3 linked regions of the Oryzias latipes genome follow. Each later gene encodes a partner of the first gene's protein in a complex. Links are inferred from orthologs where the notes say so. Each region holds a gene or a part of one and is shown in the gene's direction. Other genes may lie near its edges.

Region 1 (3,651 bases):
TAAGCTGGTATTCAGCTTGCAGTTTTGTTTGGTCTCTATTGATGTGCTGTCACTGGACTGCAGGATGTGGACGACCCACTGCTGGACATGAAGACTCCTGTGTTGTTTGTGATCGGGCAGCATGCTCTGCAGTGTAACGCAGAAAGCATGGAGGAGTTTAGAGAGAAGCTGAGGGCAGACAACAGCATGGTGGTGGTGGGAGGAGCAGATGACAACCTCAGGTTGGTGGATGTCTTTCATGATAATGTGAAGTATGGCATCATATTAGATGCTTTTAGGCCAGTCTTGTTTTTAATATTTATGCATCTCTTTACAGAATCAATTCAGCAAAAATGAAGTCTGAAGGTCTTACACAAACCATAGTGGACCGCTGCATTCAGGTTATTATAGCTGTCTGGTGTTTTGCTAAACTCTTTTTATCTTCTGTTGTAAGTTTTGAACACGGTAATGTAAACTTTTCTCCTGTGTTTTCAGGATGAGATAGCCGACTTCCTCTCCGGTGTTCTTACCCGGTCAGAAGGTCATGGACATGGAACAGGAGAGATGAGGGACTTGGATACAGAGAAGAAGAAGCGGCCCAGGCGGGAGCTGCCTTTTGACATGGAGAGAGGCCGACCTTCCTCCCCGGCGCTTCGAGTTCCCATTTCCCCTTCGGGTTCTGAGGTTAGAAAATCTTCATTTCTATCCCACTGAACAATTTGATGAGCAATGTATCCAGAAATATAGAGAAAATTGCTGATGTTTCACATAAAAGCATGCTAATGTGATTTCACTGCATAACTTTCAGACTCAATGCAGTAAAATTCCCTGTAGGGTTACTAAATATTAAACATGTTTTTCTCTAAGGCTGTGTTTTTAGTTGCTATTGAAATTTATACCAACTACCTTTCACCTTTGGCTTACTGAAAGTAAAAAAAAAAAAAAGGAAGTGCAATGAGCTTCATCCAGTGTGAATCCTTAGGCAAGGTCCTTCACGCTACTCCCTTGTGGCCCCCAACTTTGTGGCCACAAGGGGGCCACAAGTCTGGGTCGTCCTGTGCCGGTCCCCAGCCCGGATAAATACACGGTTGGGTCAGGATAGGCATTTGGCGAAAGAATTTCTGCCAAATCACTTGTGCGAATCGGTGAAAGCTGATTGGCTGTGGCGATCCCTGAATAGATATGCTGAAAGGTGTCATTTTATTAGGTGATGCCTTTATAAAGCCAAAAGTTTATGTTTTTTTTTTTGTTTTTTTTTTTTTTTTTTTAACTTGTCCTGTCCAACAGCTAGGCAAACAGATGAGAGCTGAGGGCCTCTTGTGTTGGACATATTTTATTCTAACAAGAGGGGTTATTCATCTTCAGACAAACCAAAGGTATGTCTGAATAAACCCCTTTTGTAATTGAGGCCAAACTTTATTAATTTCAATCATGTTTGAAAATCTTTGGTGTTGGACCGGACGGAAAAGGAAAGAGGGGAACAAGAGAGAGGGACGTTAGAGAGAGGGGGGGGTAGGAGGGTGATAATAGGAGGGGAAGGGGGGTAAGACCATGAAGCAGCATAGAGCAGGCAGGTTTACTGGTTGTTTATCGTTACGGTACGGTTCACATGTAGTACAAAAAGGGCGGGGCCTGTTCACACACACTCAAATATTATCAACACACCTGCTAGCCGCAGAAATGTCCACATGTCAACATGCACACAAAACAGATAGTGTTCACGAACGCATACTTATGCCTTTAAACCAACTAGTGTGAAATCTTTCATTCATTCAATCATGCAAACTATTAGTGCAAAGGTGAGCTAACACCTGTGCTCAGGTGAGTGTTTATGTTCTTCTAAAATGGATGGTGGAATGTGAAAAGAAGGAGGAGGAGCGCCCAGCCACCCCCACACCCATACCCCCGCCGCAGCAGCAGCGGCAGCCGGAATTCCCCCAGCGCCACACGGGAACAGGCAGGGAACAACCGCCCCCCGGGCGACCAAGACCGCCACCCAGGCCAGGGCCAGCAGGACCGCCGCGAGGCCCCCAGAGCCAGAGAGCAGGGAGGCGCAGGGGGAAAGAGAGCGCCGCCCCAGCCCAGCCAGGAAAGCAGCCCCCCGCCGCGCCGGAAGAGCCCAACGCAGGGCCCCACCGGAGAGGGACGCCCACAGCCCCAGACGAGCACCCCACCACCACCCAGGAGTTCCGGGCATCCCCCCGCCCCGACCCCAGGTACGAGCCAGGACCCCCCAAGGGAGACCCGCTCCGCACTCCAGGCAGCCACCCACCCGGCCCACGGTTGGTCCAGGTAGGAGCAAGGCAGGGGCCCGCCGCCCCCGCCCAGGAGGGGGGAACCCCGGGGAAAAAAGGGCGGCCCATAAGGGATGTTATAAATATGGCCCGACCAGGCTCGGCCATGTTGGAAGTTTGGCGGGGCCCAGCGCCCAGGGGCAAGGACCAGGACCCACCCCCCAGGGACACGAACACCCCCGGCTCAGGTGTAATATGAACCCCCCCACCGTGCGGAGAGAGCACCGCCGGGCCCAGGGAGCCGGCACCCAAGGGACACGGCCGCCATCGCCAAGGGGCCCGCACCCCCCACCAGGGACGGGGTAGGGGACAGATGGACCCAGGTCCCACCTTCCTTGTAAAATGTGTGTGCGTGTATGGGTGTTTGAGAGGGTGTTTGTGTGCATGTGTGTGTGTTTATGTTTGAATGTATATATTGAAGGGGGAGGGGTGTGTGTACTAAGGGGGGTGCAGTTAAAATTGGCGAGTAGGGCACTAAGGGGACATCTCCTGATTACTCACAGTGATGTCCCCTCACCCTCCACACCAAGGGGCCCTAAATGTCTAAGGTGCGGTTAAAATTGGCGGGTAGGGTGCCAGGAGGACATCTGCTGCTTGCTGGCAGTGATGTCCAAGCACCCCCCCTACCAAGGACCCTACGTGTCTAAGGTGCAAATAAAACCGAAAGAGGGGGGGCCCACTCCATACGGCAACCATAGGAGGGGGGCCACTCCCAAGTAGCCCCCCCCCAAGGCGCATCGCAGGCTAAACCCCCCACCCCCTCACCCTAATATGAGGTTATATAAGGAAGGGGGTAAGTTGGGGACAGCTGGTAGACTGTCCCCCGGTGGTCAAACAGCCGTCCCCCAGCCCACCCCCAGCAAAGGGGCCAGGGCCACCCAGCCCAGGGGCCCACCCCCGGAGGCGCCGACACCCCAGGCCCGGCACCACCCACCCCACACAGAGAGAGAGGAGCCAGAAAGCGTCGCCCCCCCCCGGAGCAAGCCCAGGCCCCCACCCCCAGACGCCGGCCCTAGAAGAGCTCTGGTCAGGCCTCGACGGGACCGAGGAGGCCAACCGGCCGAGGCAACCACTGATTGCCTCAGCGGAGACCCCGACCCGCTAGCCCCCCCGACCCGTACTAATAATGGGCCCCCCCTCCCCCCCAGAACGCCCCCCCACAGGACAGGGCCGACAAGCCCCCCACCCCACCCCACCCCAGACCCCGCAGCCGAAGCGGGTGACACCCAGAGCGACCGGGGGCCCCGAGAGGGTTGTCCCGTCCCGTCCCAGAGCCAGGGAAGGGCCGATCCCAGCCCCAGGTGCAGATGGGCAGCCCATCCGGCGCCGCTGGGCCCCCCCCACCCGAGCAGGGCCCCCCGCCAACCCCCCCCAGCAC
Region 2 (3,651 bases), on another chromosome or scaffold:
TGTAAACTGAATGAAAGCTTAAATAGTGGCATGCTGGCCAGCTGATAGGCGTCTATCTGTGAAAAGACCAAATATTGCCACCTACTGTTCCAGTATGGGTAGTAATTTTGACAGTGTGTGAAAAATGAGTTAGTGTAGTCAGGGACAGGTAGCAATCCTCTTCCCATCGTGTTTTGATGGAGAGATGGTTTGCTGTGTCTGAGGTCTTTACACCTTTAATTTCCATTTCACCCATTTTTGTTTTTCTGCTTTAAAGCAGCCACAAACATGTTTTTGTCTGTGAAAGCAGAGCATTGCGTTTTGCCTGGTGTCAAATGTATTGACGTTAAACATTGTGACTTTTTTCTTTTTCTTTTTTAAATGACTGTTTGTCCAACTTCCAGAACAAACCAGCAAATGACACATGCATCTCCTTCATGGAGGGAACCAGATGTACCAATCCTTGCCTTCCAATGGCTCGTCACTGTGTTTCACGTATCCTTTCCATGTGAACCATCTTTAAAGTATTATCTGTTTCTTTACATTCTTTACACTCCTTGCATTTCTGTTATTGATTATTTAAAATCTTTTTTGTTCCTGGCTCTGATCAAAAGCAGTAGTTTGTTGTAACTGCTGTTTTTCTAAAGGGCCTAAATTAACATCCTTCCTGTGGTCTGTTGATTTGTCCTCGCCTGTAAAAAAGGAGCTAATCATTTCAGTTGGAAGGAACAAAATAATTACACTTTTTAACCTTTTTTTTTTTAATGAAAAGGTTTTAAATTTTAGTCACCCTGTTTGGAGAAACTGTTGCTTTGACAGGATTCTGTGTGCAATTCTAAATTGTTTGAGCCTTTAAAAAGACAGAGAGCTTCTATCAATGGGTAAACACTCATGGAAGACCCACTCCAGTACGGCTGACACTAACGACTATTTCAGTAGTCGATTAGTCAACGATTATTGTTTATGTAAATTGATGTGCAATTTTCTTTTTTCTAAAATGTGATAGTGGTGGTGTTCAGTCCGTGGAGGTCAAGTAAGGCACTGCTAATGCTCAGCATATGGGGCTTTCACAAAAATTTAAATTTTATATGTATAGGTTATGAATTTCAATTTCATCCTTATAAAAGCGAAAAAAAATTTAAGGTTGCAGGTAAGCTATATTTCAGCACAAAAGAAAAAAGCCATAATTTGCTGGCAAGCTATGGGGGTTCTGATCCCTGCACTAAACCATCGTCCAAGCCAGTGTTTTTTAACCAGTGTGCCGTGGGAGATGGTAAAGTGTGTCGTGGGAAATTGCCCTCATTTACTGATCTAAAAACATTTTCCATCTCCAGGAAATCAGCTCTTTGTTCATCCAAACAGGCCCTGATAAAACACTGAGAAGTTAGGAATATAAAAGATCTTAAAATACTTATTTCTTTGTGTTTATTTGATTCTATTAAAGACATTTTAATAAGAATGACGGTACCGCGATTTACCTGCAGCTATATTAGTTTGCGGAAAAGTCCCGCCCCTTTAACTGTCTCCGCCAATCATTCTTGAAGGCTTAATCACATGTCATCAGTCTGACCAATAAGAAGTGGTTAAATCTTCACTTCCTTGTTCTTAATTCTGCTGATAAAGTCTCTCAGTTCTAACAAAAATACCAGCTAAAGCTCGTCTTAAGCGGTGTAGCTTTCCACAGAATCCGGTGTCAGACCGTGGAACAAGTGAACAGAACAATGAAGCTCAGAGTTTGTCTGCCCTTTTTCGGCAGTTTTCACACTACATCTCCCATGATGCATTGGCTTAAAGGGACAGTGTCTCAGCGCACAATGAGTCGTCCCTGTGAAACGTCTTGAAACCACAACAAACAAACAGTTTCTAAATTTTCTAATTTAAATTTTATTTCATCTCTTAGAAAAAACAGCCGCAACTTCCTGCTTTTCCGGCCACAATTATCACAAAAATGCACGTGAGATTGCGGGAGGGGGGGGCTGTCGGTCAATACAGACCATGAATTTCGCTTTTTTTTTTGGATGCTTGTGTGCCGCGGGATTTTTGTCAAGGTTAAAGTGTGCCGTGCACCGTTCCTGATGTGCACTGGCTCCCCCCCGGTCTACAGTCAACGGCGCAGACCAGAATTTAAGGCTCACTCGTCCGGAACGCCTGTGATCGCGCGTCGCTTGCAGGTTTTTAAGTCTGGTCACCATCTCTACGTACGAATGGGGCATTGATTGATCGCGCACTGGAGGTTCAAGCGATTGAAGGTTCTCACGCTGGAATGCAGCACTGTGACCAATCGTGGGTTTAGCAGTGATGTGTGGGTGACGTCTGCTTCTAAACAAAGATGTACCAGCTGTTGAAAACACGATCACGAAGGAGACAGTAATAATTGCGGTTTGTGTCAGGTTGAATTTATTTATAGGAACAGAACTGTGAAAAAACGTCTGGAGCAGGATTTACGTGATTTGCGCTGCATTGATTTTGCGCTCCGAGCCTCTTCCTATTGTAGGTGGCGGACGAGCGCTAAAAAAAACAGTAAATGCACAAAAGAACAAGAATCTTCTGTCGTTACCTGCATGTCTGGCTCTTGTCTGATGCTAATGCGTGTTCTTAAGACCGCATAGAGAGCGTCCTTGAATGCACCACGCGCGGTTGGTGTGAATGCAGCAAGAAATGCAAGTTCTTATCTGTCGTCTACTATCGTCGAGGAAAAGCTATACTGCCTCGTAAAGTTCTTGTTGTTCTTTGTGATCCCAATGACTTTGTGGCTGGTGGTTATTATAATTATTTAAAAAACGTCAAAAAAAAAGACTCATTGACTGTACAGAATAGCTGACAGCCCTACACTATTATTGTAAAAGCGTTCTCAGTGGTCTTTTAATCATGATGATGCCATTTTGAGGTAAAATTTAAGAAACTGTCCTTTTCTAGGACATAGTTTCTGCAGAGCGGCAGCACTTCGCCTCTCCATTGTGGGCAGGACGGTTGGCGTGGAGTAAGTCTCCTCGTACTTCCCGTCATCCATCTGTTTACACGCTTTCCTGCTAGCTTACAGCCGCTCACAACCCAACCTAACATTAATGGTGCAGGAGTTAATCCTGCCATACAGTCAGATTCCAGCTCAGACTAGGAAAACAAAGATGGAGGTAGCCATCTACAAGTGGACGCATCAGAATGGAGCGGAGCAGAGAGCTTGCGGGTGGTAGAAGTTACTACAGCGAGCTTCAAGCTGCATTTTTTTTGTCTGCTCCTGATTCACAACAACTTGAATTAAGAGAGACTCAGAAACACAATTTGACGTTAATTTTCTTTATATGTCCTCCATTATCAGAAAAGAACTTTTTTCAAAACACATTTTCATTGGAGTGGGTTTTAAGCACAATGAATGGCTTCCGGACAAAAAATGGCAGAACTAATCCTTGCATAGCAGGCTGGTACTTTCCACTCACTGCAGCATACCAACAAGAAGTTAGTTATCAATAAGCATATGACCAAGTCTTGCCCAATGATGTTTCCTGTAAATGATAGCAAAGATAACACATTATCCTTGACAGCCAGATGCTCAGACATTTACCAAGACAGCAACCAGGTTCTTTTCAAAATCTGTCCCGGCATTAAAGATGTCCCGTGCAGCCGCACGGTGCACATGGGTCAGTCCGACGATCCGCGCTGCCTTCTTCACCTCGC
Region 3 (4,095 bases), on another chromosome or scaffold:
GCATGCATAGGAGCATAGATTAAAACAGTAGAGAAAAAAGGGTAAACAGTAGATTTTAAAATTTGCAGTAAACTGGTTTATTTGCAAATTTATGACAGATCACAGCATCAGCACACCAGCAACATTTTTAATATGTCAGAAACAGGAGTTTGTTTGTTTTTTTATCTTAAATGTACATTTGCTGTTTGCAAAAACAGGGTTAAAAAACATTTGGTTAAAACAAAAACTAATTAATTTAAACATAATTAAGAAAAGAAAAACAAGGGTTTATGTTTGGATATCAATGTTGGCAAAACATATTAAGGAAAAACATTAAATATTGGCAAAAAATAAGATGTGTTAGAAGATGTCGATTAATCTTGCAGGAAAATTGCTTGGTTGAAAAAAACCATAAACATACTGCAAGTCCTAGAAATATTTTAAAAAGAAATAGAAATAAAGTTGTTTAAGCTCGGGACTTGAAGATTAGAAGAATAGTTATTCTGGTGCAAACACATCCTGTCAGTGATGTTCAATGTAAACTGAGCCTGTTGGCAACTTCCTTCACATAGCAATTGATGTTGATTTAACCAGAACTCTATCCATCAGGCTACAGTTTAAAAAAAAATCAGTTGACAAAATATATGTAACTAGTAAGGATTAGTAAACAGTATTTATGTGGAAAGATATTTAACAGTAGATTGTACATTTAATGCTTGCTTTACACATTAAGAAAATACCCTTTGCAGTTAAAAATAAAATAAAAGCTAACACCTGTTAAATGTCCCTGGAATTACAAATCTTATCTGAACTTCTTTTGTGTGTATTTGAATATGTTTTTTGTGTGTGTCTATATATATAAAAACTACAAGAAGAACTAAAATAAAATAAAAAGATAAATAAAACTACAAGAAGAACTAAAAGAAAATAAAAAGAAATCAAACAACCCACGGTTATGTAATGTTGATGTGTTTGTTACTAGACCAGCGCACCTTCCACTTCCTCGCAGCACAGCTGACACGTGACTCTTTCAGATACCTCCGAGCAGTGCTGCTTCCTTTTACCGTTTGAGTCTCACTGCACCATTGTATTCTTCCGCGTGGTTTTACCTTAAGTGTATAATTTTACATCAGGTTATATATATGTATATGTATAACTTCTTAATACAATAAAAATAATAATGTATATTGGGTTTATAGTCACATGTATTAATGCCCAACTATTATTTTCAATCAATGCCGGTGTCAGGATCTAGTTGATCACAAAAACGAGTTCCACCCAATTCGCCATTTTACGTTCACTAGCTGCTTTGTTGTGCAGATAGAATATCGTGAACGGTAGCGGTATATTTTTTATGTCATATGTAGGTGCAGTAACTACATTATCTGTGTAAATATACCCAAACAGCGGCATTTTAAGGTAGGGCTTTAGGAAATTTATTCTGAATACGAGATTAGTAGGTAACTATAACCCGGTCTACCTAGCCAGACAACAACGTGCTTTCAGTTTTCGTCTCAGAAAGACCACAGTTAGTTATAAGAAATACATCTATTTTTCTCTGAAGCTGTGAGCTCCCAGACGACACATTGACGACCGCCGTGCAAGAAACGAAGACTGCTGGGGAGATGGCGAGTTCTGTGGGAAACGTGGCAGACAGTACAGGTTAGTGGCTCAAAAAAATAAAAGCACCTCCTTTAGAAAGAAGCAACGATTTAAAATAGTTTTTAAAAGTAAATTTTAATCTAACAATGACCCTTTTGGTAATCCACAGCAATAAGGTAAATGAGGATGCTAGTATGTAAACCAGTAGCGCCGCTCTTCTAACACCACGGTACCAATTTATATGTATTAATAGATATATTATAATAAGGCTATTTTATTATATTTTTCGCCAATTTGTACCGAATATTCCTTCATTTGGCGTCTTAACCTAAACAGTATTAAGTCAAGACGAGCTAGCGTTGGTATTTGTAGATGTGACGTTTAAATGGGTAGGAAACGATTAAATCTTTGGCGCTGCAACATTTTTCCTCCTTGGGCGTCACTATGTTCATACATTTTATTTTTTTAAATCCTAAACTGAACATTTATCTCGTGGTTTTTGTCTGAGAAAATGGCCGCCAGCTAAGGGGCGTTTCGGTTTGCAATAAAGGGCGCTGAAATGAAGTGTCCTACTAAAATGCCTTCAAAGATATCTTATTTTTTAATTCATTTTTTTTTGGGAGGGACGGCGAATGTTAGGGATATATGTTTTTCAAAATTAGAAAATGACGAACAAGCTCAGTTTTAACGATAAACTAACTTTAACGCGATTATTAGCAGATTTTGCGTGCGTTGTGGTGCAGTTTTTTTCCACACACCCCACCCCCACAATAAAGACCCACTTCGATGAAAATCGTGTTTTTAACTTGTTCGTGTAGCATTTTTCTTATAATGGATGATATGTAAAGAAATTTAAGATTAAAATTCAATCGTGAATTAGCAGCAGCAGATGATAAAAATGCTGTTGGAAAAAGCTTGTAGCAGTGACGTAGATGCTACAGTAGGTGGAGCCACAATCTCCCTGTTCTCTATCAAGATGCACCTGTTTGATGACGAATAGACTTAATAACGTTTTCGTTTACTCTGCATTTTGGAAAAGCTAGTCTGACATATAAATTATGCGTTTCCTTAGTTGGAAAAAAGCGTCAGTGTGCATTTTTTATATACATTAAATTGTAATTAATTTATATGTACAGATGCTTATAGTTTGTATAAAAGTTGTGAAGTGTCCCCCTTATGTTCCCTCTTGTGACGTCATCATTTTTACCCATTATCACATTTTGAAGTTACATTTGTCAGGCATTTATTTTAATACAAACATTGTCATGTTTGCTTCTATTTTTATTTCTTCCTGTTTTTTCATTTGTCGTCTTTATTTTCTTTCATCACCTCTAACATGTCGTTTCCCCCCTCCTTGGCCTGTGTTGGTTGTCCAGAACCAACAAAACGTATGCTTTCCTTCCAAGGGTTGGCTGAGCTTGCACACCGGGAGTATCAGTCAGGAGATTTTGAGGCGGCCGAGCGCCACTGCATGCAGCTGTGGAGGCAGGAGCCTGATAATACTGGAGTGTTATTGCTGCTGTCCTCCATTCACTTCCAGTGCAGAAGACTTGACAGGTGAGAACACTTTATACAGGCTGGCAAATGAGAGCAGCAGAATGGAAGGGCTTTACAAATGAAAGGATCAAGAAATGGTATTTCCAACACTTTCTTTATTGTTAGAAGAAACCAGCCGTTTTTTAGCTGAGGTGCTATTTCTACTTCTTAAAGAGGCCTCTATTGATGATTCCCTAATCCTTTGACACCTGAATTTATTTCCAGTTATGAAAACATGTTTTTGTTTTCAAGTAGATGCTAAATAAAATTGAGATGGTAAATTTGACAAGAACACATAAAATAGATATGATTTTAGGTAAGTCACAAATCATCGACAATCAGCATCTACCATACTGTTTCCAGTATAGAGAATTTTAATCATGCAACACATTTATTCCTAGTATTTTCACTCTAATCACCGACAGAACTGATAAACCTTGAACTAAAGTCAACACAAAGCTTATTGTAATTGGCCTCCCCAGCCTTATTTTAATTAACAATAAATTGTCTCAAAACTTTAGAGTGAAGTCTTTTGCCTCTTTATTCAGTACATATTTAACTTCCAAATTTACTCAAATTGTAATAACTGTAATGACTATTTTTCTTATAAAAAACCTAGATTAACTGATCTAAATGTTTTGAAATTATTGTTAACTCGTTTGAAGTAGCACAAGCAGTTTTGTTTGTCTGGACGATTGTATTTTATTTTTCTACAGCTTCTGCAAACATAGAAGGGACATTTTTTGATCATATGGCAGACTTTGAGGCAGTTTTATTCCAGTTGAAAGCACAGGCCAACTCTACATTTGTCACAAATCTGAGGGGTGCTTCTTTTGTAGAAAACACTCCTTTTTTATATCCACTCTCATTAGAAGAAAGTCAGAATGCAGACAGCATGATGTAAATTAGGCCTGCACAATAAGTCACAAATGTATCATTATTGCGATATCAAGCTGTGCAATACGCGTATAGCAAAAG

Evidence for each region.
Region 2: kansl3 (region 1) and kansl2 share a complex: the UniProt entries of both Homo sapiens proteins name them as parts of the NSL complex. The link is inferred for Oryzias latipes from reciprocal best matches to the Homo sapiens genes KANSL3 and KANSL2.
Region 3: kansl3 (region 1) and ogt share a complex: the UniProt entries of both Homo sapiens proteins name them as parts of the NSL complex. The link is inferred for Oryzias latipes from reciprocal best matches to the Homo sapiens genes KANSL3 and OGT.

Annotation. Positions count from the first base shown.
Region 1 is NC_019867.2:17,067,718-17,071,368, reverse strand, and holds part of kansl3 (KAT8 regulatory NSL complex subunit 3), read left to right. Parts: intron 1-63; coding exon 64-221; intron 222-316; coding exon 317-380; intron 381-474; coding exon 475-663; intron 664-3,651. UniProt on the Homo sapiens protein: Non-catalytic component of the NSL histone acetyltransferase complex, a multiprotein complex that mediates histone H4 acetylation at 'Lys-5'- and 'Lys-8' (H4K5ac and H4K8ac) at transcription start sites and promotes transcription initiation.
Region 2 is NC_019865.2:25,931,447-25,935,097, forward strand, and holds part of kansl2 (KAT8 regulatory NSL complex subunit 2), read left to right. Parts: intron 1-383; coding exon 384-474; intron 475-3,530; coding exon 3,531-3,651. UniProt on the Homo sapiens protein: Non-catalytic component of the NSL histone acetyltransferase complex, a multiprotein complex that mediates histone H4 acetylation at 'Lys-5'- and 'Lys-8' (H4K5ac and H4K8ac) at transcription start sites and promotes transcription initiation.
Region 3 is NC_019868.2:18,366,172-18,370,266, forward strand, and holds the start of ogt (UDP-N-acetylglucosamine--peptide N-acetylglucosaminyltransferase 110 kDa subunit), read left to right. Parts: upstream 1-1,278; 5' UTR 1,279-1,604; coding exon 1,605-1,641; intron 1,642-2,957; coding exon 2,958-3,138; intron 3,139-4,095. UniProt on the Homo sapiens protein: Catalyzes the transfer of a single N-acetylglucosamine from UDP-GlcNAc to a serine or threonine residue in cytoplasmic and nuclear proteins resulting in their modification with a beta-linked N-acetylglucosamine (O-GlcNAc).